Oryctolagus cuniculus: one gene and its partners. The protein of the gene in region 6 interacts with the protein of the main gene of each other region in a pairwise test. Links are inferred from orthologs where the notes say so. Each region holds a gene or a part of one and is shown on either strand. Other genes may lie near its edges.

Evidence for each region.
Region 1: the proteins of TRAF3IP1 (region 6) and OLFM1 interact in a two-hybrid assay, tested with the Homo sapiens proteins (2 studies listed by BioGRID and IntAct). The link is inferred for Oryctolagus cuniculus from reciprocal best matches to the Homo sapiens genes TRAF3IP1 and OLFM1.
Region 2: the proteins of TRAF3IP1 (region 6) and KANSL1 interact in a two-hybrid assay, tested with the Homo sapiens proteins (2 studies listed by IntAct). The link is inferred for Oryctolagus cuniculus from reciprocal best matches to the Homo sapiens genes TRAF3IP1 and KANSL1.
Region 3: the proteins of TRAF3IP1 (region 6) and SMC2 interact in a two-hybrid assay, tested with the Homo sapiens proteins (2 studies listed by BioGRID and IntAct). The link is inferred for Oryctolagus cuniculus from reciprocal best matches to the Homo sapiens genes TRAF3IP1 and SMC2.
Region 4: the proteins of TRAF3IP1 (region 6) and GOLGA4 interact in a two-hybrid assay, tested with the Homo sapiens proteins (2 studies listed by BioGRID and IntAct). The link is inferred for Oryctolagus cuniculus from reciprocal best matches to the Homo sapiens genes TRAF3IP1 and GOLGA4.
Region 5: the proteins of TRAF3IP1 (region 6) and SNAP91 interact in a two-hybrid assay, tested with the Homo sapiens proteins (2 studies listed by BioGRID and IntAct). The link is inferred for Oryctolagus cuniculus from reciprocal best matches to the Homo sapiens genes TRAF3IP1 and SNAP91.
Region 7: the proteins of TRAF3IP1 (region 6) and PCNT interact in a two-hybrid assay, tested with the Homo sapiens proteins (2 studies listed by BioGRID and IntAct). The link is inferred for Oryctolagus cuniculus from reciprocal best matches to the Homo sapiens genes TRAF3IP1 and PCNT.

The regions. Positions count from the first base shown.
Region 1 is NC_091432.1:236,275,124-236,278,623, forward strand, and holds part of OLFM1 (noelin), read left to right. Parts: intron 1-94; coding exon 95-314; intron 315-3,500. UniProt on the Homo sapiens protein: Contributes to the regulation of axonal growth in the embryonic and adult central nervous system by inhibiting interactions between RTN4R and LINGO1. Inhibits RTN4R-mediated axon growth cone collapse.
Region 2 is NC_091448.1:17,221,315-17,223,635, forward strand, and holds part of KANSL1 (KAT8 regulatory NSL complex subunit 1), read left to right. Parts: intron 1-492; coding exon 493-550; intron 551-763; coding exon 764-876; intron 877-1,964; coding exon 1,965-2,217; intron 2,218-2,321. UniProt on the Homo sapiens protein: Non-catalytic component of the NSL histone acetyltransferase complex, a multiprotein complex that mediates histone H4 acetylation at 'Lys-5'- and 'Lys-8' (H4K5ac and H4K8ac) at transcription start sites and promotes transcription initiation.
Region 3 is NC_091432.1:207,901,379-207,904,878, reverse strand, and holds part of SMC2 (structural maintenance of chromosomes protein 2), read right to left. Parts: exon of another isoform or gene 2,944-3,500; intron 2,905-2,943; exon of another isoform or gene 1,807-2,904; intron 1,262-1,806; coding exon 1,151-1,261; intron 966-1,150; coding exon 921-965; intron 1-920. UniProt on the Homo sapiens protein: Central component of the condensin complex, a complex required for conversion of interphase chromatin into mitotic-like condense chromosomes.
Region 4 is NC_091435.1:173,679,261-173,682,760, reverse strand, and holds part of GOLGA4 (golgin subfamily A member 4), read right to left. Parts: intron 1,062-3,500; coding exon 906-1,061; intron 1-905. UniProt on the Homo sapiens protein: Involved in vesicular trafficking at the Golgi apparatus level. May play a role in delivery of transport vesicles containing GPI-linked proteins from the trans-Golgi network through its interaction with MACF1. Involved in endosome-to-Golgi trafficking.
Region 5 is NC_091436.1:88,831,198-88,834,697, forward strand, and holds part of SNAP91 (clathrin coat assembly protein AP180), read left to right. Parts: intron 1-1,972; coding exon 1,973-2,003; intron 2,004-2,987; coding exon 2,988-3,099; intron 3,100-3,500. UniProt on the Homo sapiens protein: Adaptins are components of the adapter complexes which link clathrin to receptors in coated vesicles. Clathrin-associated protein complexes are believed to interact with the cytoplasmic tails of membrane proteins, leading to their selection and concentration.
Region 6 is NC_091434.1:2,099,007-2,103,005, forward strand, and holds the start of TRAF3IP1 (TRAF3-interacting protein 1), read right to left. Parts: upstream 2,801-3,999; 5' UTR 2,684-2,800; coding exon 2,561-2,683; intron 1-2,560.
Region 7 is NC_091435.1:434,690-438,189, reverse strand, and holds part of PCNT (pericentrin), read left to right. Parts: intron 1-1,271; coding exon 1,272-1,436; intron 1,437-2,692; coding exon 2,693-2,845; intron 2,846-3,500. UniProt on the Homo sapiens protein: Integral component of the filamentous matrix of the centrosome involved in the initial establishment of organized microtubule arrays in both mitosis and meiosis. Plays a role, together with DISC1, in the microtubule network formation.

The DNA of each region.
Region 1 (3,500 bases), on a different chromosome or scaffold from region 6:
GGCGCACAGCCCCGCCCGTGGGAGGAGCCGGCGAGGCAGGCCTTACCAGTTCTTGCATGCTAGGCACTGAACCCAGCTTATTTTAACCTTGCAGGCGATTAAAGCGAAAATGGATGAACTTAGGCCTTTGATCCCTGTGTTGGAAGAGTACAAGGCCGATGCCAAATTGGTATTGCAGTTTAAGGAGGAGGTCCAGAATCTGACGTCAGTGCTAAACGAACTGCAAGAGGAGATTGGCGCCTTTGACTACGATGAGCTGCAGAACAGAGTGTCCAGTCTTGAAGACAGGCTGCGTGCATGCATGCAAAAACTAGGTAGGCCCGGCGCCCGGGGCGCGGCGCTGCCCGCCTGCGGCACGCGTGCAGGCGTAGGGAGCGCGGCCAGGGGCGGCGCCTGCCCGGCCTCGGCGAGCCGCCCGCAGGGCTCCTGGTAGGGCCTCCTGTAGGGTTAGCGCAGCAGGAGCCCAGGCAGGGCCTCCAGCCGCAGACCCCACGGAGGAGCGCGTCTGGCAGAAGCAGGGCGAGCGGAGCCGCTGCCTGGGGCTGGGCGCGCGCGTGCGTGCGTGCGTGGGCGCATGTGTGCGTGGGTGCGTGCGTGCGTGGGTGCGTGGGCGCGTGCGTGTGTGCGTGAGGGACACGAGTTCCAGGGGGCTGGCGACACGCCTCGGGTTCCTGCAGACACTGGGAGACGGGCGCCACCCCGTCCCAGCAGAAGATCCGCCCCTCCTCGCCAGTGAGGGAGCCCCTCTTCCAGCCCCAGGGGTGCTCATGCGCCCCTGGCACATTTCCCTGGGTCCTCAGCGGTAGCCCCGCCCAAGCAGGGTGCCCCACCGGGACCCTTGCTTGAGATTGATTGCCAGTTAATTGCGATAAGCGGTCTCAGTGAGTTGCGCCGGAGCCCGGCTCGTTCTGGGGCTCCCCCCTCCCCGCCCCGAGCCCACCTCCTCTCTAGCCATGTTTCCCATGGAGGCTGCGCATTCCATGCGGTCCCTGGCCTAGGGCAGCTTGGGGTCCAGCCGAGGGTCAGCTCCGTCTGAGGCTCTGACTTGGTTCCCTTCCCTCTCCTCCCGACCCCGCCCGGGCCCTGCACCTGCTGCAGGGGCGTGGCCAGCAGGCACCATGGGGCTTCCTCGCGCTGTTAGGCAGGAACTGGCCGGGAGAGGACAGTAGCATCAGCCAGCCGTGGTTAAACAGGGCGGGGGGCGGCGGTCTCCATTCTGGTGCCTCTGAGCCCCTGGCCGCAAGGAGAAGAGAGTGGGGCCCACGCTCTCGCCGTGTCACACAGGGTGGCCGACTGTGTTCTTTCCCTCTGCTCCCTGGTTTCCTTGCTGCCCGGGACTGGGTGACTTGGACCATGCGGGCTGGGCGGGGCCGGGGGGGGGGGCTGTGGACGTGCAAGGGTTTGGTGGGGGCCTGAGGCCAGTGACGAGAGACACGCTGGCTGTGTGACCTTCTGCTGGGTGCCACCCTTGGGTCCCCCTGCCCCAGGACCAGAGTTTGGCTCGGTTTTGCTCCTCAGGCCCCTGGCAGCCCCTGGCAGGGTGGGTTTTCTTGTTTCTCCGTCCCCCATATCCACTGACTCCCCCCGGCCCCATCCGCGCCCCGCCGCACCCGTGTGCACCCTGGGACACCGGGAGGAACACGGGAAGCCTCTGTGTTGTCCCGGCAAGGGAGCAGGGTGGAAGCTGACGCACGGTGAGAAGGAGGCTTTGGGCCAGGCTTCCCGGCCGTGCCGTTTCGAGCGCCAGGTGAGTTTAGCCCAGGTTCTGGAATCTCCTCTTGCTCGCCTCGGGCGGCCGAAAACGCTGGTTTGGGAGTGGAGCCGAGGCTGAGTGGGCGCCCCCCACCGTGCGCTCTGCGGTTTCTGCCTCTGCCTCGAATGGGTCAGGAGGGCTGTGAGACACGGATGGGCCCTGGAGCAGGGCGGCCCTCGTGGGTGCCCCCGTCCCCCTGTCCGGGGAGGCAGCCTGTAGGGCAGGGGGTGCTGCCCCCGGCTATGCGGCTCCCCCAAGGCCTTGTCAGCCGCACCTCGTCTGGGCCCTGTGGTTGCTGGGAGAGTCCAGTTCCTGCTGCGGGGCACGCAGGGGGGTGGCCCTGGTGGACACGGAGAAGGGACTGGTAGGATGACACCTGGGTACATGACAGAGGCGGATGACAGGTGCCTGATCGTAGATGATTGATGGGTGGGTGGGTCTGTGGATGATAGAGGTGGATGTTGCTAGGTGCTAGGCGGGTGACGGGCGATGGACAGATTGGCAGAGATGACGTGATCGGTGGGTGGATGGATAGGTGATAGAGGTGGGTGATTGGTGAGCTGATGGGTAGAGAGTGGCAGACAGTTGATACAGGTGACAGTTGATTGAAAGGTATCTCAGTAGATTGAGCTCCTCCTCCCTCTTCCCCCGCCTCCATTCCGCTCAGTGAGTGGCTTCAAGGTCGGGTTTCCGGGTCATGGCCTCTCGGTTTGGTCTCTGTGCCAGCCTTGCACACGCGCAGGGGCTGGGGTCACCCCAGCAGCCAGTTTCCTTGTTGGCGGCTGGGGGAGGGGCTGGCCTCTGTGCAGCGTGGGCTCTTGGGCAGGCGGGGCCCCTCCCACGCTTGCACCCCTGGGTCCCTGCTGTGTCCGGTGGCGGGCTGATCTCCCTGGGGTTACGGTGGGGGACAGGGCTCCCAGCAGCGCCTGCCCTGGAAGCACCCAGGCCAGGCCCCCTCCCAAGACCCCCTCCCTGTGGGACTCAGCTGGAGGCGGATCTGGGGCTCACTGTCAGGAAGGTGTCTGTGTCCAGCCTTCCAGAGCCAGTCTTGCCCGGGGCATTATGGAGGCACTGCCGCCCGGCAGGGTCCCCAGCCCCGAGCCAGCGCCTGGGGCGTCTCTCTGGACACCTCAGAGGCAGATGCTCCTTCAGGTAAACTGAGGAAGGCGGAAACCTCAGCACAGCCGGGAACGCTGGACCTGAGCCGCGCTGCTCTCTGCAGACGCACTGGGCGTCCCCGGGGCTTCTCCTGGTTACAGCCTCCCCGGCAGCCTGGCTGGGGCTGAAGCCCCCAGACGGCGGGGGCACGGTGGCACCCAGCGGGGGTCTCATTCCTCTGAGAAGACAGAGCCATGGGGGGCTGGGCTGCTGCCGAGTCGCCCTGGTCAGCTTCGCCCTCCCATGGGCGGCTGTGTCCGTGCCTCCTCGTCCAGTGCCGTGAGGCGTTGGGAAGGTGAGCTGGGCCCAGCGCTGGGAGACCCCGCAGGCTCGGGGCGCTGGCCTGGGCGGGGTCCTGGCGGGGCCCCGCCCTCCTCTCAGCTCCCTCCCTCCAGGGAGGGCTGGGGTGTCAAGTGCTGCCCAAGGAGGTGAAAGGTGGAAGAGCCCCCACCCCCACCCCAGGACCTGGTCTGAGACCCGGGCAGGGGGCGGCTTGGTCCTCCGCCCATTTCATCTGCACCAGGGACGTGTGTGCATCCAAGCCCCCGGCTATGCCGACTTCTTCCCACATGGGTCTGAGGGAGAGCGG
Region 2 (2,321 bases), on a different chromosome or scaffold from region 6:
TAAGTGACTGCATCAACCAGAGATCACAACCTGACAGTCCAGTGACTATTACTGGTCTAAAACATATGCGTTAATGCATCCATTATATCTTAAAATACTGAATTTGTTGTCAGCATCAAAGTAGGATTTCACATGCAAATTTATTATTTGTTGACAAATCAGAGGATTGGATAAACCTATGTCTGCATTCCTGTGTGGTAGCAGTCAACTGGCAAGATTTGTTGGTCCCCTTTAAACCTTTCCTTTGCTTGAGTTTGTCATAGCATCCCAGCTGCACTCCCACACAGCTTTTCCCATTTTGGACCCTTGTGGGCATTTGAATGTGGGACCTCTTTTAGAGGTAAGGGGTAAGTGGACAGAGTCTGCCCAGCAGAGAACAGTATCACCCAAAGACTCAGAGCCCACACACTTGACACCTGCATGGACTCAATGGGTCCTGCCCCAAGCTGCAGCCTGCATGTGTCTCATGATTGCCCCTTCTTCATTTTGCAGCTGGCGGGAGGTTGATCTTCAGTCTCTGAAGGGGAGTCCTGATGAAGAGAATGAGGAGGTAATGGCGTGATCCTTTCTCTTTTAGAAGAGGGCGCACACGCATGTGCACATATCCGTCTGGGTGCCTCCAGACCTATGGGTTTCAAATGCAAGCTCCTGCAGTGCTCACTGACAAGCCTGAGGTGGTGGGGGTAATTTTAGAGTCAGTCTACACATACTCAGCTCAGCGTCCTGGGGGAACAAGGGCATCAGCGAAGCTGCTCTGTTGCAGATCGAGGACCTATCCGACGCAGCCTTTGCCGCCCTGCATGCCAAATGCGAGGAGATGGAGAGAGCACGGTGGCTGTGGACTACGAGCGTACCGCCCCAGCGGCGCGGCAGCAGGTGATGGGCCAGGAACAGACACCTGGAGCCTGTGCAGAGGGAGGGTGGACAGGGAGTTTGGGGTCTCTCTGTCTGTAGTCTGCTCTTCTATTCATCTGTGGGCAGTGGCTCAGATAGAAGTTCCTTGTTGTTTGTTGTAGTGGGGTATAAATAGCCAAATGCTAGATCCTTGCTGAATGACCCACTGTCTGATTCTGACAAAGTGTAGTGGTCAGCTGTGGTATTTGGAAGTTGGTTAGGGGTGATGGCGATGGTGGTCTAATCAGAGGACTTAAGGAGGCCTTACCAAAGGTTAATCCTCCTCTGGGCAGTATACTGTGGTTATGTAACTACTTGTCTCCGTTTATTGCCAATAATGGCAGAAGCCCTGAGGTGCTCAAGTAGAATGTTTTGGAACTCTGTTTTTGCCTTCTGTGACGACGACTACTAGTTTCCAAGGTCCGGACCAGTTTCTCTTCTCCCATGGAATCACTGGATGCCATGGCAGGGCTCCTCCCCAGCATTGTTTGGCCATGCTTTCTCTTGGGATTAAGACATACACAGTTTGTTTGTTTTTTGTGGGTTTTTTGTTGTGTTTTTTGTTTTTGTTTTTTTACAGATAGAGTTAGACAGTGAGAGAGAGACAGAGAGAAAGGTCTTCTTTCCATTGGTTTACCCCCCTCAACTGGCTGCTATGGCCGGGGCTACGCTGATCTGAAGCCAGGAGCCAGGTGCTTCCTCCCGGTCTCCCATGCAGGTGCAGGGCCCAAGCACTTGGGCCATCCTCCACTGCCCTCCCGGGCCACAGCAGAGAGCTGGCCTGAAAGAGGGGCAACCGGGACAGAACCAGCGTCCATATGGGATGCCAGTGCCGCAGGTGGAGGATTAGCCATGTGGGCTGCAGCGCCGGCCCCAGACATACACGGTTCTTTGACGTCATACTGTGTACCTGTCCCTCTATGCAGCAGTGGAATAGGTGGTTGGCTGCTAGAAAAAAATACTATGGTGTCTTCTTCGGCTTCTCTCATGCCTCTCCCCACTCCCCAGAAATAAACAGACAAGAAGTCCCCTGTTACCCAGTACTCAGATCTGCATTCCTTGGTGCCCAGGTCTTACAGGTCATCAGACGGCCGGACCACCCCTCAGTTGGGCAGTGCCAACCCCTCTACCCCCCAGCCTGCCTCTCCCGACGTCAGCAGTAGCCACTCTTTGTCGGAGTTTTCCCACGGCCAGTCCCCTAGGAGCCCCATTAGTCCAGAACTGCACTCAGCACCTCTCACCCCTGTGGCTCGGGACACACTGCGACACTTAACCAGCGAAGACACCCGATGTTCCACGCCGGAGCTGGGACTGGACGAGCAGGTGAGGGACACTGCCTCCGCATGGGGTTGGTGAGCTGGGGGTGGAACTGGGGAGGCTCAGCACCTGCTAAGGATGGATCCATCTCATGACCCTCCCCATTTTGA
Region 3 (3,500 bases), on a different chromosome or scaffold from region 6:
CACATCCTCCAGTGGTATGTTACCAAATGCATTTTGTAGTAGTATTACCCAAAGTGCCTACTAACATTCTTTCAAGGATTACCTCATGTACTTGCTCACACATTATTGAACTTGATTCCCCTAAAAACCTGCTGGAATAAAGTAACAACTGAATTCTCTATTTGCAGATGAAGAAACAACTTCTATATGGTTAAATGACCCATCCACATCGTCTTATTTAGAAATAATGTGTCAAAGTCAGCTCTGAAATCTAAATTTAAACTCAAAATCCAATGTTTTCTACTAAATCATGCATACAAGGAAAACACCTTAAATATATATAGAAAGAAAACAGCTCTGAAAAGTACCAACATTTTATGAACATTTAAGGAGTTCTTAAATGGACATATTACAAATTAATACTCTATAAATGCACTCCGGATTTCACAAGTTTTATAATGTTTGGAGCTTTACAGATTACAGAGAAAACCCAATCCTTGGTTTCAGTACCTTCCACTTACAAAATGTCTTCATATCAATAATTATAGATTATCCTAGACATTATCCTATTATCCCACCTTATTAATGTTCATTACCACTGAGGGTTACTAAGTGCTACATTTTTAAAAAATGTTGTTCCAGTTCATTCTAATTATCCAGTAAAATCCAAACTTCCTTCTCTTCAATAAAGTATTAACATACAGCATATAAGTTTCTGAGATCTAGATGGTTGTCCAAAATCACTATGACTTAGTAGATATGAAGTACATAGCCTCTGTAAACAAAGGTTGAATTATGAAGCACTAACTTTAAATCTTTATATAATCACAGGGACAGATCCCCAAGAAATGTTACACACACTTCATCCCTGTAACTGATTTTAGATACATCACCACTTTTGAGACATTCTAAATGGTTGTCTTCACATATGCAGTATATACCTCTTTTAATTTTTGAATGGTTGGAGTAATCTCTTCTTCAAGTATCTAGAAAATAAAGAAAATCCCTATATTCAGTATGTAAAGTATCATCAAAATATTTTTAAAAATACTGAAGATGCTGTAAAACCAATGAATAAATAAATAAATAAATAATAGCCCTCTTTACAAGCAGAAAACCCAAATGCAAAGTTACACTCTTTTCCAAAAATGTTTTATATGAATTTAATTACCGTCTTAATTTCTTTCAGCTTAGCCTCCTTTTTTTCTATAGTTTTCTGGGCAGCTATTTTTTTGTATTCATACATCCTGGTTCCAGCTGCTTCTTCTATCATGGATAAAATCTGAAATGATCATTGTATTAATGTTTTAAGACTTTTAATATTTCTAATTGGAATTTACATGAAATATATTATAGCCTCTGCCTCCCTAAGCAACCAAAATAACGGCCCTAGTACAAAGTAAAAGTTAAATAGGTAAATATGCATATATTAGGAAGCAAACACTTGGAGCAGAGGTTAAGACAAATCACTTGGGATGCCTTCATCCCATACTGGAATGCCTGGGTTTGAGTTCTGGCACCACTTCCAAATCCTGCTTCCTGCTAAAGTGCACTATAGGAGCCAGAAGATGACAACTCATGTAGTTGGTTTCTTGCCACCCACATGGGAAACCTGGATTGAGTTCTGGACTCATGGTTATGCCTGGCCTACCCCCAGTATGCAGAGCATTTAGGGAGGGAATCGGCAGATGAAGATCTCTTTCTGCCTTTCAAATAAAATGGAACTAAGCAAATATATGCATTTTTAAATGCAGATGATTACCATAGCTCTTATTTCCAAGAAACATTTCTGGCCTTCACTCTTCTAAAATCAAGTTTTTTGGTACACTAAGTTTCTGGGATTCATAAATCCAGAATTTGCCATTTTCTATCCCAGTAAGCCTCTGCTTCCCTCACAGACTCTGGTCTACTCAGTGGTCCACCTCCTTGAGGGAATGATGGAAACAGTCCACAGCCATTGCCCCCATCACTACGGAGTTGGCTTCTGCTGCAAAACTGAAGATGCTCTTGTTTTTTCTACCACTGCAGATAAGGTGGGGAGTGTTGATGTGGACAGTAAAGCCAAGAAACTATTGGGTTTAAGACAGAAGCATCTGGTGATTCCAGGAAGTAACTAACCTTTTAAGAAACAGTGTATAGGGAGGACAGCTAACAAGTGTGGAGAAGTCTTCTTTTTCTATGGAAAATCACTTTTGGAATTATCAGAACAGAGAATGGTATGTTGGGAAAACGCCTTGGAAGTACACATGGAAGAGGAAAAATGAGACAAACAGAAGATGAATCTCTGGTACAAAATGAAAATATACCTGAGGAAGCAAGGGAAGAGTTGAGAAAATGGGTTTCTGATGCCAAGAACACACACAAAAAGGCGGCAAGTCTCCATCAAAGCCCGAGAAGTGAAATGGAGAATGGTAGAATAGAAGATAAGGACTTAAGTGAGCCTACAGAGAAGCTACAAGACAATGTTTCAGATAACTGAAACCTCCAAAGGGGCAAAAGGAACTGCAGCACCAGAAGGGCTGAACAAAGCTGAGGTCACTTTGGGGAAGCCAGAACAGGAAGCACTAGATACTGAGGAAGAAAATTCAGTTTCTGGACCAAGAAGAGTGCAGAGATAAAAAGAGGACAGCAGAAGCAGAGAGGCAATTGTAAGCAGACAGAAGTCAAAAGACGCTGCAGAAGAGCAGCCTGTTGAATTCAGAAAAGCAGGACACTGCAGTGGATGTAGAAGCAAAGGAGCAGGTAACCACCTCTGAAAATGAAACAGAAAAGGCTGTTCTCAATGAACATCTTAGTAGGGCAGGAAGTGCCTCTTCTAGAAAAGCCACCCGTCAGGACAACAAAGGCTACAGAGGCCCAGATGCAGGGTGAGACCAGAAGAATCTTAGGAGCCTGGGCAGGAGACCACAGCTGTCTCTAATGATGGTATGAACTTGCAGCTGCAGAGCTTCTGCTGATCCACAGACTTTTGCAGGATTGAGAGAAACAAAAGGTGGCTCAGAACTAGAGGTCAGGGCAGAACTAGTTCCTAGCCAGCAGGCTAAGCTACACATGAGAATATGAGACTGCTGGTGATGGGGCTGAAACCAAGAAATCACTGAAGACAGTTAACGACAGCTGCTAACAAAGAGACAGCAGACAGAGAATAGATGAAAGGGGGTGAGGAAACTGAAGGTTCAAAAGCAGATAAATAAAATCACAAGACTGAAGAAACACCCAAAGATTCAGCTATTGACAAATCTCTTTAAGAAAATGAAAAGGAGACTGGGAACCTAGAATTTGCTTGGAATATGCAGGATTTAGCAAAGATCATTTTAAAAGGCAAAAAACATAAGCTGAACTTTAGGATACACAGGAACATCCTAAACTTGGAGAAGTTGAAGTGGACCCTGGTGATTACATCCAAGCTGTAGAAGAGTTCTAAGCTTGTCTAAACTTGCACCAGCAGTACCTGGAACCCCATCATTGTCTCCTTGCAGTGACCCCACTGGGGTTGGCTTATGGCTACAACTCTCAGTAAA
Region 4 (3,500 bases), on a different chromosome or scaffold from region 6:
AAATATGAATCTTGACTCTGAAGGAAAAAAGAGCAAATTAAGGTGAAGTCACAGAACGTCAGAGCTACAAAGGTTCTAAGGGCTTTACCAGTCCATTTCTTCATGTGACGGTGAGGAAATTAAGGTACAATTAATTTTACCTCCTAGGTACCCATTTCACTCCACCATGCCACCTTTTCTAAATGCTGGGAATGGGAAAATAAAGCACAGTTTTAGAGCTATGGGCAAGATGTGCAACTGTTTCACTGCCTAAATCATCAGAGTAAGAAGTCCAAAAAGTCTAAACAGCAGTCGGTTTTCCAAACAGGCAAAACATGTCAAATATTGCTAAAGGAAGGGCCAAAGGGCCTTAAAAATGTGCACAATGAGACATATTTACAAATATGTTCATTAAACTATACTCAGGGACCACCATCATGGTTTAGGGGATGAAGCCACTGCTTGTGATGCCGGCACCCCTTATGGACACCAGTTCAAGTCCCGGCTGCTCCACTTCCAATCCTGCTACCTGCTACTGCGCCTGGGAAAGAAACAGAAGATGGCCCAAGTACTTGGGCCCCTGAACCCACGTGGGACACTGGAAGATGCCCTGGTTCCTGGCTTCAGCCTGGCCTCACCCTGGCTGTTACTGCCATTTGAGGAGTGAACCAGCATTTTGAAGATCTTTCCCCACCCCTGCCACTCCCTCTCTCTCTCTGCCTTTCAAATAAACAAATCTTAAAAAAAAAAAAAAAAAAGAAAACGAAAAAAAGACTGTACTGAGAATGGAAAAATTGGGGAAAACTTAAACAGAAAAGCGGGCGTTAGTATAACTCAACTGTGATACAAGCAGAGAATGGATTATGACCAGGACATGGCAAGAGATGAGTTTCACGGCTCTGGGCCTGAACACTACTGAAACTTACAGTTCTGTAAGTCTCCGCTTCCTGCTGCAGGTCCCGAAGTTTATTTTCACTCTCTGTGAGGATTGCTTTTTTCTGCAACTCTAACTCTTCCAGGGCCAAAGATTCTTGCTGTTCTTTCTCTTGGGTAATTCTCAAATATTCTAAATGACTCTTTTCCTGTGCCAAAAACAATCAATAGTACCATCTCAGACGCCCATCAATCTTTAGCACTCCTGCAGCACCTCCATGGGGATCACTCCTTTCATTTGATCTGCACCCAGTTCCCCAGAGCAGGCAACATCTTTACCTTTCTCCTCCCACACTCCACTCTGCAGAAACAGGGCCCTTTGGCTCTTCCAGTGTGGTGGCTCAAGTTCTGCTACAATTACTAATGACATGGAAGGTTTTGTTCCAGCAATCCCTTGTGTCTGCTATTTTTCCATTAGTTAATATGTGAGCCAAAGTAACAACGAATGCAGGGCTGGCACTGTGGCATAGCGGATAAAGCTGCCACCTGCAGTGCCAGATCCCATATGGGTGCCAGTTCGAATCCTGGCTGCCCAGCTTCTAATCCAGCTCCCTGCTAATGCATCACAGAAAGCAGCAGAAGATGGCCCAAGCACTTGGGCCCCTGCCACCCTCGTGGGAGACCTGGCTGGAGTTCCTGGCTCCTGGCTTTGATCTGCGCCAGCCTTTGCCATTGTGGCCATTTCTGGAGTGAACCAGCAGATGGAACATCTCTCTCTCTCTCTATCTCTCCCTCCCTCCCTCCCTTGCCCTCTCTGTAACTCTGACCTTCAAATAAATAAATAAATCTTTAAAACAAACAACAATGGATGTGGTAAGTCATACAACTGTCATTACCTCTTCTTCGCAGAGTTTGGTGTTTCAACTCTAGATTTAGAAACTAGGTATTGAATGTATATAATTCATAAGCGATACTTCACTACACCGAGGAACCCCACATGCCAACAGCAAATCAGAATCAGAAGACTGCTTGTGAACATAAAGAAAAGATCAAGGAAATCCCTAGAAACTAAACCTACAAGATAATCCTCTCAGATGATCTGGGCTGCTTCCCCATCAGTCCTGAAACGCCGCTCTGACTCTCCTTACTACAGATCAGTATGCATACCCAACGCGCTTCCTATTTCGAGAAGAGGAGTTCTAAAGAGCACTTTCAGCATTAACACATAACTGTAAACGTCTTCCTGAACTCCTAGTAAGAAAAGTACACATATCTATGTATACCTTTTGCTTACGGTTCATATTGCCAAAGCAATATTTTCAGTTCACAATACTCTGGTGAAGCACACTCCTTTAAATAATAATTCTGTACAATGTTAAGGGTAGATCAATAAGAAAATAATTTCTACAATACAACACTGATTTTAAAATATTTTAAATATACTATATTTTTATATAAACCATATTTTAAATTAACCTCTATAGACCCATAAAAATAAAAGAGAAAATTTTAATTCTCTGTTGAATTAGGAAGGGGCTAGTTGTGTGTGTGTGTGTGTGTGTGTGTGTGTGTAGATGTGCTCTCTAATTATAATATATCTGATTTTTAATTTTTTTATTTTTTACTTTTTAATTTTTTTGACAGGCAGAGTGGACAGTGAGAGAGAGAGACAGAGAGAAAGGTCTTCCTTTCCTTTAGTTCACCCCCCAGTGGACGCTGCGGCCAGCGCGCTGCAGCCGGCGTACTGCGCTGATCCGATGGCAGGAGCCAGGTGCTTCTCCTGGTCTCCCATGGGGTGCAGGGCCCAAGCACTTGGGCCATCCTCCACTGCACTCCCTGGCCACAGCAGAGAGCTGGCCTGGAAGAGGGGCAACCGGGACAAAATCCAGCGCCCCGAGCAGGACTAGAACCCAGTGTGCTGGCGCCGCAAGGCGGAGGATTTGCCTAGTGAGCTGCGGCGCCAGCCAGAATATATCTGATTTTTAAGGTCAATATTGAAGGCTCAGTGCCCCCAAAAGCCAATTACCTCAGCATGAAATCCTTGAAGGTATTAAAATTGGACATTTAAATGTCTTCCTGGCTTCATTTAAGTTACACTTTGCTAATTTCCATGCTCCTATTCCATCATAGTTTAAATGTTCTTGTAAACTGCTTTAATTCCTTTCCAGACGACAAAGGGGGAATATAAATATGTGCCCATACATGTGTAAACTTCATGACCACAGACTAATATGCCCTCAGCCAAATGTACTATAAACCCATGTGTCCATCTGCCGCCAGAGCAGATGAGAATATTTGCTAACTCTTCCAAGAATCACTGCTCCTGGAAATTCTCAGAGCTCCAAATCCAATGAAAAATGGAAAAATAACATATGAAAGATTAAAACTTAAAATACAATTTCTTATCTTTTGGCACTAAAGTATTTTAAAACTGCACACATATTATTACCTTATAAATAACTTCATATAAAAACAAACTATATTTCTGGCATTAACACTTTTATGGTGACTTATCTAGAAGGCTTTCCCAATTGAAGAAAAATACTTTTGACTTTTTATTTGCTATCACTGTTCTATTTATCTGTATTTCATATATACAATTTTAAATCCGTAACGATATTTCCCACCCTTCCTCCCTCCCTCCTCCT
Region 5 (3,500 bases), on a different chromosome or scaffold from region 6:
ATATTTTAGGTTATGAAACTGATATCATTTTGATTATAGTGAAGATTATATGAATCTGTTTGTCAAAATTCATAGAAACTTACCCATTCTCCAAAGAACCCACTGAATTTCACTGTATGTTAATTTTGTAATTAAAATGCAATATTCTAAAACTGAATAAAATTGCCTACATGCTCCTTTTCAGTATTCCAGCGTACTTTTGCAAAAATTAACAAGTTGTACCTAAAATTCATATGGAAGTATCAGAAAATCGAAATGCTCGAAACACCCTGAATAGAGAATAACTCTGATGGCCCCATACTTCATACTTTCCAAAGCTTACTAGAAAGCTACAGTGATGAAACAAGTGATGCTGCATAGGGATGGACATAGAGATCAATGGGATGTGAAGAGCCTAGAAATAAACCTATACATCTGTGGTCACTCAGAACAATTGAAGGGGAAAATAGTTGTCTTTTCAACAAATAGCGCTGGGAAAATTACATGTCCACATGCAAAATAACAAAGTTGAACCTTTTACATACAACCCCCCAAAATAATTCAAAATGGATTAAAAAAACTAAATGCTTGAGGGGCCAGCATTGTGGTGCAGCGTATTAAACTGCTGCCTGTGACACCAACATCCCATATGAACACAAGTTTGAGTCCCAGCTGCTCTCCTTCCCATCCAGCACCCTGCTAATGCACCTGGGAAAGCAGCAGAAGATGGCCCAAGTGCTTGGGCATCTGCCGCCAATGTGGGAAACATGAATGGAGTTCCAGGCTCCTGGTTTTGGCCTGGCTAGGGAGTGAACAAGCAGATGGAAGATCTCTCTTTCTCTGTCTTGACCTCTGTAACTCTTTCAAAGAAATAAATATATCTTTTTAAAAAAGAACTAAATATAAAAGTCGAAAGTATAAAACTCAGAGAAGAAAACACAGAAGCAAATCTTCTTGACCTTAGACTTGGTAATGTTTGGTTTCTTATATAAGACATCAAAAGCACAAGCAAAAAAAAGGTATTTGACCTGGCAGTTAAAGTGCTGGTTAGAATGCCTACACCTGGTTTCAATACCCAGATCCTCCTCCTGATTCCAGTTTCCTGCTAATTCAAACCATGAGGGGCAGCAGTGATGGCTCAAGTAATTGAGTTTCTGCTACACATATGGGAGACCTGGATTGAATTCCTGGTTCCCAGCCTGACCCAGCCCTGGTTGGTGCAGATATTTGGGGTGTGAACCAGTAGATGGGAGTTCTGTATGTCCTCTTCTTCTCAATCTCTCTCTGTCACTCTACCTCTCAAAGTAAAAGAACAAAATGTTAATAAAGCACAAGCAACAAAAGTAGGTAAACAGGCTACATAAAAATGCAAAACTTTGGTGCTACAGATGCCATCGAGAATGTGAAGGGACAACCCAGACTGGGAGAAAATATTTGCAAATCATTCATCTGATAAGACACTTTACCTGCAGTAAACAACTTTTACAACTGAATAATGAAAAGACAAATAATGTGATTACAAAATGAACAAAAAATTTGAGTAGACATTTCTCCAAAGAATATATGCATATGGCCAGTTTGTACATGAAGATATAGTCAACACTAGTCATCAGTGTAATGTAAATCAGAAGCAAAAAAAAAAAAAAAAGTTACCACTTTATACCCAATAGGCAGCTGTAATAGAAAAGACAGACAATGGCTACTGTTGGTGAGGACATGGAGATCTAGAAACCAGCCCAGACACCAGCCTCACAGGTCTTTCTTAGCAGTCTCAAATCTGCTGTTGACTCTTGTCTGTGACCCTATGTCTAACATGAAGCAAAAGGAAGTCTCAAAGAGTATGGATATGTTTCCTAATATAGATTCTTTTTTGTATAACTGAATGCAGTCATTCCTAGGTCAAATGTTTACTTTTTCAAGACCACTGACATTTGGAACTTTTAAATGTCAAATCTTATATAAACTGATTTTTTTTTCCTTGATCCATTTTTAGATCTTGGAATTTCTGGTACGACATCAAAAAAGTAAGTTTTGAAATTATTTCATTTTCTTTTGATAATTTGAGATTATCAGATTTTGTATCCTTGGAATATATTATTGATTCTTAAAGTAGATGACTTAAAAGGGTTTTTTTTTTTATTTCATTTTGGATTTAATTATTATCATCTTTCTGCTAGAACCTTTGAAAAGTAATAGTTTATTTCAGTATTTAAGATTATCATTAGGCCGGCGCCGCGGCTCACTAGGCTAATCCTCCACCTAGCGGTGCCGGCACACCGGGTTCTAGTCCCGGTCAGGGCGCCGGATTCTGTCCCAGTTGCCCCTCTTCCAGGCCAGCCCTCTGCTGTGGCCAGGGAGTGCAGTGGAGGATGGCCCAGGTGCTTGGGCCCTGCACCCCATGGGAGACCAGGAAAAGCACCTGGCTCCTGGCTCCTGCCATCGGATCAGCGCGGTGTGCCGGCCGCGGCGGCCATTGGAGGGTGAACCAACGGCAAAGGAAGACCTTTCTCTCTGTCTCTCTCTCTCTCACTGTCCACTCTGCCTGTCAAAAAAAAAAAAAAAATCATTAAGTTATATCTGGAAATACTTAGGAATTTTGATTTTCATATTTTAATAGCTTTAAAATCTCAATTCGTTGTAATATTCCTAGCTAACATTTATTCTAAAGTCTCTCATAGAGTATAAGTTTTAAAGAAGGATAGTAAGACTGATAAAATACCTGCCCTTTTTTAGATGTATTTTGTCACTGAAATTGGGATGGAACTTACCATAGATGGTGTCTTACAGCAGATTGTTGTCATGAAATAGTTGTTGTAGCCTGCTGTTGAACCTTTACAGTCCAACAAGTGCCATCTTCAATGCATCTTAAATTCAACAAGAAACAGGTGTACATTATGATACTCTTATTTGGAATTTTTTATGAGTGAAAACAAGCTACTTCTAAATCAAATAAAAATTTTTTTTTTGATTTGTGTTTTTTGTTCACTTGTTTGTTTTGCATACTTTAGGGGAGATCTTCAGTGGAATGCTGGAGAGAAAAAGTTGACTGGGGGAGCTAACTGGCAGCCAAAAGTAACTCCCGCAACATGGTCAGCAGGCGTTCCACCAAGTGCACCATTGGTACGTAGCCTCAGAGGCCAGAGCAGCATGGGTCGTTTGCAAGTTTCTGAGGTTATAGAGCAGGGTGCATTTTGCTTGCCTTTGGTACTGATGTATATTTACATCCTCACTGAAGAAATACAAGCAAGATGCAAAATTTACCAAAATGTAAATTTCGTTGACTTCATATTTAATAATGATTATGACTTATGTTTTTTTCTTTTAATGACTTTGAAATAGTATTGGTACTTCTATATTTGTAAATTATGGGAAGTGACTTTTCCAAATCATTCAGGATCATTATACATATTACCATGTTTCTGGCCCAAATTCTATATTTGCAAATTATGGAACTGATTTTTCAAAATTATTTAATATCATTTACATATATTTTTTTCATATTTCTTGCCCAAGTTTCCTGA
Region 6 (3,999 bases):
GGGGACGGGTCACTGCTCGGACGTCAGCACGTGGCGTGGGGAGGGGACGGGTCACTGCTCGGCCCTGGTCAGCACGTGGCGTGTGGGGGGACGGGTCACTGCTCGGCCCTGGTCAGCACGTGGCGGTGGGGGGACGGGTCGCTGCTCGGCCCTGGTCAGCACGTGGCGTGCGGGGGGACGGGTCACTGCTCGGCCCTGGTCAGCACGTGGCGTGCGGGGGGACGGGTCACTGCTCGGCTCTGGACAGCACGTGGCGTGCGGGGGGACGGGTCACTGCTCGGCCCTGGTCAGCACGTGGCGTGCGGGGGGACGGGTCACTGCTCGGACGTCAGCACGTGGTATGCGGGGGGACGGGTCGCTGCTCGGCCGTCAGGAGTCCTTTACTCTGAGACCTGCTCCAGGACACGCACCAGGACAGCCCCACGCTAACGCCAGCCTCCTCGGGAATGAAGCTACAGCCCAATCTGCACCAAGTTGGCTACGGATTAACCCAGTCTCCAGTGCACACCAAGTCCCGAGAGCCACGGCCGCGGTCCTCGGCACAGGCGGGATGCCCGGAGCACCTGCGTGCCCGTTCCTGGCACAGCCTCACCGGGCCCCGCCCTTGGAACCCTGAGCAGGGACTGTGGGCAGCGAGGATTCCTGCAGACGCTGAAACGCGAACGCGAGGACGCGAGCAGGCCCCTTGGACACCGGCTCCCCGCGCTCGGCCGACCCTGTTGTCCCAGCGTGCCCGCCGTCTGCCAGACCAACAAGGCGGCAGAGTGCATCTCAGCACTGGGCTGGGACACGCAGGCCAGCAGGCGACTGGGAGCAGGCAACCCACCCCACTCAGCCCGTCCTGGCCTCCATAACCCGCCCCACACAGCCCGTCCTGGCCTCCATAACCCGCCCCACACAGCCCGTCCTGGCCTCCATAACCCACAAAACACAGCCCGTCCTGGCCCCCGTGACCCACCCCACACAACCCGTCCTGGCCCCCATGACCCACCCCACACAGCCCGTCCTGGCCTCCGTGACCCACCCCACACAGCCCGTCCTGGCCTCCGTGACCCACCCCACACAGCCTGTCCTGGCCTCCATAACCCACAACACACAGCCCGTCCTGGCCCCCGGGACCCACAACACACAGCCCGTCCTGGCCTCCATAACCCGCCCCACACAGCCTCCTGGCCTCCGGAGTCGGGTCCCTCTTCCCGCCGCGGGCAGCGCCCTCTTCCCAACCCGGCGGTCACCAGCCACCTCCCCCCGCAGCTCTGCACTTCAGGGAGCAGCAGGACGAACAGCAGACCAGAGTGGAGGGCTCAGTGCCCCCACCCAGGCCTCCGGGCAGGGAACAGCACCTGCCACCTCCCCAGGGAAGGCGGCGCAGCACCCTGCCTCCATGCCATGGGGCTCCCCCACAGCCGGCCCCTTCCCCAGACACCGTCCAGGCCAGGCCCTGGGGACGCAGGCGGGCTCCCGGCTGGTGACACGCGCTGGCACACTTACAAGCTAAGGTAAAGTCTGTGCAGGTCGGGCGGCCGAGCTGTTGAGTGAGCTGAGGGCCCCCAATGGTCACACCGCCCCAGAGTCCACCTGCTTCCTAGCCCCAGAGCACTCCAGTTCCCAAGGGCCCTCGGTGCGCCATGGAAACAGCACCCCCACCCCGGCCCCACCCCCGCGCTGCCACACACCTGACGGTTGCCAGGAGCCATCCCAGACTCCCTGAGCAGGGAGCCTGCGCCGGGGACTTCTGGGCGCTCAACTCACCGCGGCCGGACCGAGCCCGCACCCACACCCACACCCACACCAGCCTCACTCGAAGGCGGCCGGCGGAGCAGCGCTAACCGCCACCCGCAGGGCTCCGCCCCTGGCGGCTGCAGCGTGGGGATCCTAACACCCTGACTCCGGTCTCCACGGGCCCCGGGGCAGGGCGCGGTCCCAGCCACAGCCCGGCCCGCACCGGGGAGGGCGCGGTCACGGCCCCGGCCCGGCCCCAGCCCGGGCCCGCACCGGGGAAGGCGCAGTCACGGCCCCAGCCCGGCCCCGCACCGGGGAAGGCGCGGTCACAGCCCGGCCCCGCACCGGGGAAGGCGCGGTCACAGCCCCAGCCCCAGCCCCGCACCGGGGAAGGCGCGGTCACGGCTCGCCCCGCACCGGGGAAGGCGCGGTCACGGCCCCAGCCCGGCCCGCACCGGGGAAGGCGCGGTCACAGCCCCAGCCCGGCCCGCACCGGGGAAGGCGCGGTCACAGCCCGGCCCCGCACCGGGGACGGCGCGGTCACGGCTCGCCCCGCACCGGGGAAGGCGCGGTCCCAGCTCGCCCCGCACCGGGGAAGGCGCGGTCACGGCTCGCCCCGCACCGGGGAAGGCGCGGTCACGGCTCGCCCCGCACCGGGGAAGGCGCGGTCCCAGCTCGCCCCGCACCGGGGACGGCGCGGTCCCACTCGCCCCGCACAGGGCGCCCAGGGGCCGCAGTCCCGGCAGGGGCCGCCGCGGCTCGCCCACGCCCCGCCTCCCGGCCCCGACGCAGGCCCGGGTCTCGGCCCCCCCGGCCACCGGGCCCCGGCGGCGCCCACCTCCGTGATGATGTCGTGCAGGTAGCGGAACGGGGGCTTGTTGAGCAGCTTCTCCGTCAGCGGCGGCCTCCGGATCACCTTCCCCAGCGCCTCCTGCGTCCGCCGCACCACCGCGGCGTTCATGGCGCCGCCCGCCGCGCGTCCGGCCGCCCGCGCCCCTCAGGCGGCCCGGCCGAGCCTCAGCCCGGCTCCCTGGCCCCGCCGGCCCCGCCGCCCGGTGCCGCCGCGACGCGCAGCGCGGGTCCCCATCCCACAGTGCACCGGGCCCGCCACGGCGCCTGCGCGGAGGCCGCGGCGCGCCCGGTCGCTAGGGCGGCGCGGCCTTGGCAACGAACGCCCGCGCGCGGGACGCCGGGAAGCGGGGTCTGTCCAGCGGCCGGCGGCGGGGCCGCGTCCGCGGTGACCGTCCGAGGAAGGCGCTCCACACCGGGCCTCTCAGCTCCCGAGCGCTTTCGCCGGCTCTGGCTCGTGGGCGGAGCCAGGACGCGGTTATCCCGAAAGCCGCGCGGCGGGCAGTGCCCTGTCCTGCGCGGTCCTTGGCCGGTTTTCCCTCAGACCTCCACCCTGCCGCCGCCGCCACGCATCCCGCGGGGCAGGTGGGCAGCGAACGGGGCCCCGGGCTCGCCCCGCGGCGGCTGCGGGCTCCGGGGTCTGTGTGGAGCCTCTACCTTGGTCTGCCATTCTGCGTGTGCACCTGCACGTCCCCGGGGCGGGCACGGGGCGGGACTGCCCGGTTCCAGTCCGGCTCCCTGCTGATGTCCACCTTGGGCGGCGGCAGGGGACGGCCCGGTGCCCGGGTCCCTGCTGTCCGCGTGGGAGACCCGGATGGAGCCATTGCGGGCGTATGCGGGTGAGCCAGTGAATGGAGAGACCGAATAATGTATCTTTTAAAGTTTCACCTGGTGTCCGTGTGCCAGAAACGGCAGGTGCGCGTGGGCCGGAGGCCCAGGAGAAGCGGGATCGTGCAAGCTGATGGACACAGCCAGGCTGGCCCCGGGAGCTGATGGAGCCTGGGAAATTGGTTGTAAGTCTCCGCGGTGCCGGGGCAGCAAGTGTCCGTGAGGCTCGTGCGGGTTTCCGCTTCCCCGCGCCCTTTCGATGGAAGCATCCTGGCCTGCTGTTGGTGACGTGGGCAGGCAGACAGGAGAAAATCGGCTAGTTGGCGAGCTGGAAGACCACGTCTTCACACCCCTGTGAGCTCACCCCTTCCTGCCCCCACCTGTGCGCCCACTGCCACTCAGGCTACGTGACCACGCGCCTTTGGAAGTGGCTAAAAGGCCCGGAGCTCGCTGGGCCCTTCCTTTGTTGGCCGTTGCCTTCGGGGCGCGTGCCCGTTCCCGGGGCTGGCTCCTGGCCTGCTCTCTGCTTGCTGTGGACACAACTTAGCCTCTAGACGTCTGCTCTCCGAAATGAAGCCCTCACCCTCCTGCACATTTCTC
Region 7 (3,500 bases), on a different chromosome or scaffold from region 6:
GCATCTCGGGCCCCTGCTGGTGCCGCCTTCTGCCCGGCTCCTCCTAGCCCTGATCCGGAGATCTTGATTTGATATTGTTGTATGTCTAATAAATCATTTTAAAAGTGAAGCTGTTTAAATTGTTAAAGACGATTATCTTTAAACATAAAAAAATTAGATGTTTACCCTTTTTTGGTCCCATGCTGGAATTCTGGTGAGGTGTGCTTGCATTTAACTCGATTATTCTGTCACAGGCCTTGGTGCTGCTTAAGTTTGCATTTCTCTCTTTTTGAACTTCGTTAGTTTCCTTCCTGTCAGTTTTCTTTTTTTTTTTTTTTTTTCTTTTTATTTTTTGACAGGCAGAGTGGACAGTGAGAGAGAGAGACAGAGAGAAAGGTCTTCCTTTTGCCGTTGGTTCACCCTCCAATGGCCGCCGCGGCCAGTGCACTGCGCTGATCCGAAGGCAGGAGCCAGGTACTTCTCCTGGTCTCCCATGTGGGTGAAGGGCCCAAGCACTTGGGCCATCCTCCACTGCACTCCCTGGCCACAGCAGAGAGCTGGCCTGGAAGAGGGGCAACCGGGACAGAATCCGGCGCCCCAACCGGGACTAGAACCTGGTGTGCCGGTGCCGCAAGGCGGAGTATTAGCCTAGTGAGCTGCGGCGCCGGCTCCTGTCAGTTTTCTAGACAGCAAGTGTCTGGTGCAAAAGTCTGTATCATGCACATGGTGAGGCCGCCTCAGCAACACTGTCCCCTGCAGTCCTGACATTTGGCTCTAGTGAGGGGCTCTGGGGCCACCTTCCTCCCCCAACCCTGTGTGGGCAACACAGATGCAGCTTACTGTAGCGTGGACACCCCAGACCTGGTGACGTGGAGTCTATGTTAGGCTCACTGTGGCTTTCCCTGTACCCCATGTCTGCTGAGATACCTTTTCCCACGACTTGGGGTGTGTGCTGGCTGCCGGCTGTGCCGAGTGCACAGGCTCCTGAGCGGCCCTTGTATGGCCCTCGTATAGTGCTCGAAGAGGGCTGGGGAAGGGCTCAGCACACCTGGTAGTGGGTGCTGGCTGGGTGCTGCTGGCTGGGTGCTGACCTGAAGTGCGGACGAGGGAGCACACCCTGGGAGCAGCTTCGTTGTCTCTCTGAAGGCCTCATGATCAGAACTTTAGACTGGCCCAGGGTCCACCCTGCATGGAATGTTTGACCCTACACCTCTCTGGGATGTGAAGGACATGGTGTGCGTATGGGCGGTTGCCAGCTGCTGCTGCTCTCTGACGTGATTTTCCTGCCACAGGCTTTGCTGCAGATGGTGTGTGACGAGAGCCACCAGATCCTGGCCTTGTCGGAGAGCCGCGACCCCCCCAGTGCTCTAAGCAGGGGCGAGCCACACAGCCCCCTGCACCACTTGTCAAGTGAGGGGCGGGGCCTGCTGGAAGTGGCCCCTGACACAGGGGAGAAGGTACGGACTTGGTTCCTTCTGCACCTTACTGGCCCTGTAACACTGAATTGAAGCGCTAGCAGAGATGACTGCGTCCGTAGAGGGGCCTTGTGCAGAGATGGAGAGAGCCCTAAAGAAGCTGCAGGCCTCCCTGTGGCCCACGCTGGCTCTGTGGGCAGGTTCCCCGCAGGATGTGCTATGGAGGTACTGGGGTCTGCACAAGCTGGCCAGGGACTCTTGGGGCTCTCCTTACAGGCTGAGGAGGGTGAGGCCACTGGGTGATCACATGGCTGAGAACCTCACTGCCTCAGCCTGTCCTCACAGGATGATGCCTGCCAGCCTCCATGGGGACCCCTACGGCGCCTCCTCCTGCTCCTCCTGTGACCCATAGCCTGCTTCCTCCTCCCTCCATACCCCATGCCAGACAGGCTGCTAACCCCTGAACTTGGCTCGACCCCTGAGCTTTGCAGTGTCTTTGCCTGTCTCCACCTGGTACCCGGGGCTGCAGGCCAGGTGCGTGCTGACCTCTAGGCCCATCCTTCACATCTGCCACTGCTTGTTGGAATGGAAGTGCCACAAAGCGGAGAACTGTGTCCTTGTGCCTAGGACTTGCTGGCATGTGGCTGGTGCCCACTGAATCTAGTGGAAGAGTGGCTGCCCTCCCTGCTGCCATCCATGCCCCCCGGCTCTGGTGGGATGTGAGCTGCAGCTGGCTCCCCAGAGGCTCATAGCGCTGCCCACAGCTCTCCAGCTGGGCAGCCGTGTACAGCCTAGGGCCTTGCAGATCCCACAGTAGGGGGAGAAGGAAGGAATTTGCCAGCATTCCTCTCCTTCTTTCACTGCTTCCTTGTTCTCTTTTCTGTTTACGGTGCCAACTTCTGCTTCTTGTCTTTCGATAGTCCTGGTGCATAGGAATCTTCTCTGCTGTCCTGCTCAGTGGCTACAACAGTGTCTTTCCTGCAGACACTGATCTCATAGTTACAGGGACCAGAAATCCTAGCGCAGGGTGCAGCAGGGTCAGATTGTGGAAGGGACGCAGTCCCTGGCCTTGTCACTGCAGGGGGAGAGAGAGGGTTCTGATAGTTCTTGTTAGAAGGACACAAAGCCCATCACAGTGGTCCCACCCTCATGACCTCATTTAACCCTAATTGTCTCCAAAACTGTCACATTGAGGGGAAACAGTCCTGACACCAGCCTTTTGGGGACAGACCTGTTCACTCCGCACAGCACCTGCAGAATGTGTTGGCAGAAATTCTGAGCTTGCTTCGATATTACAGGAATCTCCTGACCCATGCTTCGACTGGCGAGGAACGTTCCTGCAGGCCGTCCGGGAGGCACTGGCAGTCGAGCTGCAGCCCAGACTTTGTGGTACAGACCCAGGGGATCCTAGTTCTCTGCTTCAGAGGCTGGAGAAGGTCATCCGAGAGCAGGTGAGGGGTGGCTCCGTTTCAACGGGACTTGTGGTGTCTGAGGAAGTCACAGTCGGTGCCTGTGTCACTGTGCACGTGACTCAAGCTCCCTGACCGGACAGCGTGTGCGTTGATTCTTCCCATAGCTGCCGCAGAGTGGTTCTGAGCAGCCGCTGCTAGTTGTTCTGAGAGTCCCGGGCCCAGCTCAGAGGGGACGGTGCTGTGGGGACAGTGGCAGTCCTGTTTCCTCCCCTGCACTCAGGGACACAGGCTGGGAGCCAAGGCCTGGGGCTGTGTACTCTGCCTTCCACTTTGAGTTAGCAGGCTCTTAACAGGGGCTGGCCATTTGGGTTGCAAAGGCTGGACTGCAGGGAGGCTCGGGTGAGGTGCTCACCTTCCTAGGTCTGGAGTCCCTAGAGGCCCTACTTTTTTTTTTTTTTTTTTTTTTTTGACAAGCAGAGTTAGACAGTGAGAGAGAGAGAGACAGAGAAAGGTCTTCCTTTCCGCTGGTCCACCCCCCCCAAATGGCTGCCACAGCCGGTGTGCTGTGCCGATCCAATGCCAGGAGCCAGGTGCTTCCTCCTGGTCTCCCATGCGGGTGCAGGGCCCAAGCACCTGGGCCATCCTCCATTGCCCTTCCAGGCCACAGCAGAGAGCTGGACTGGAAGAGGAGCAA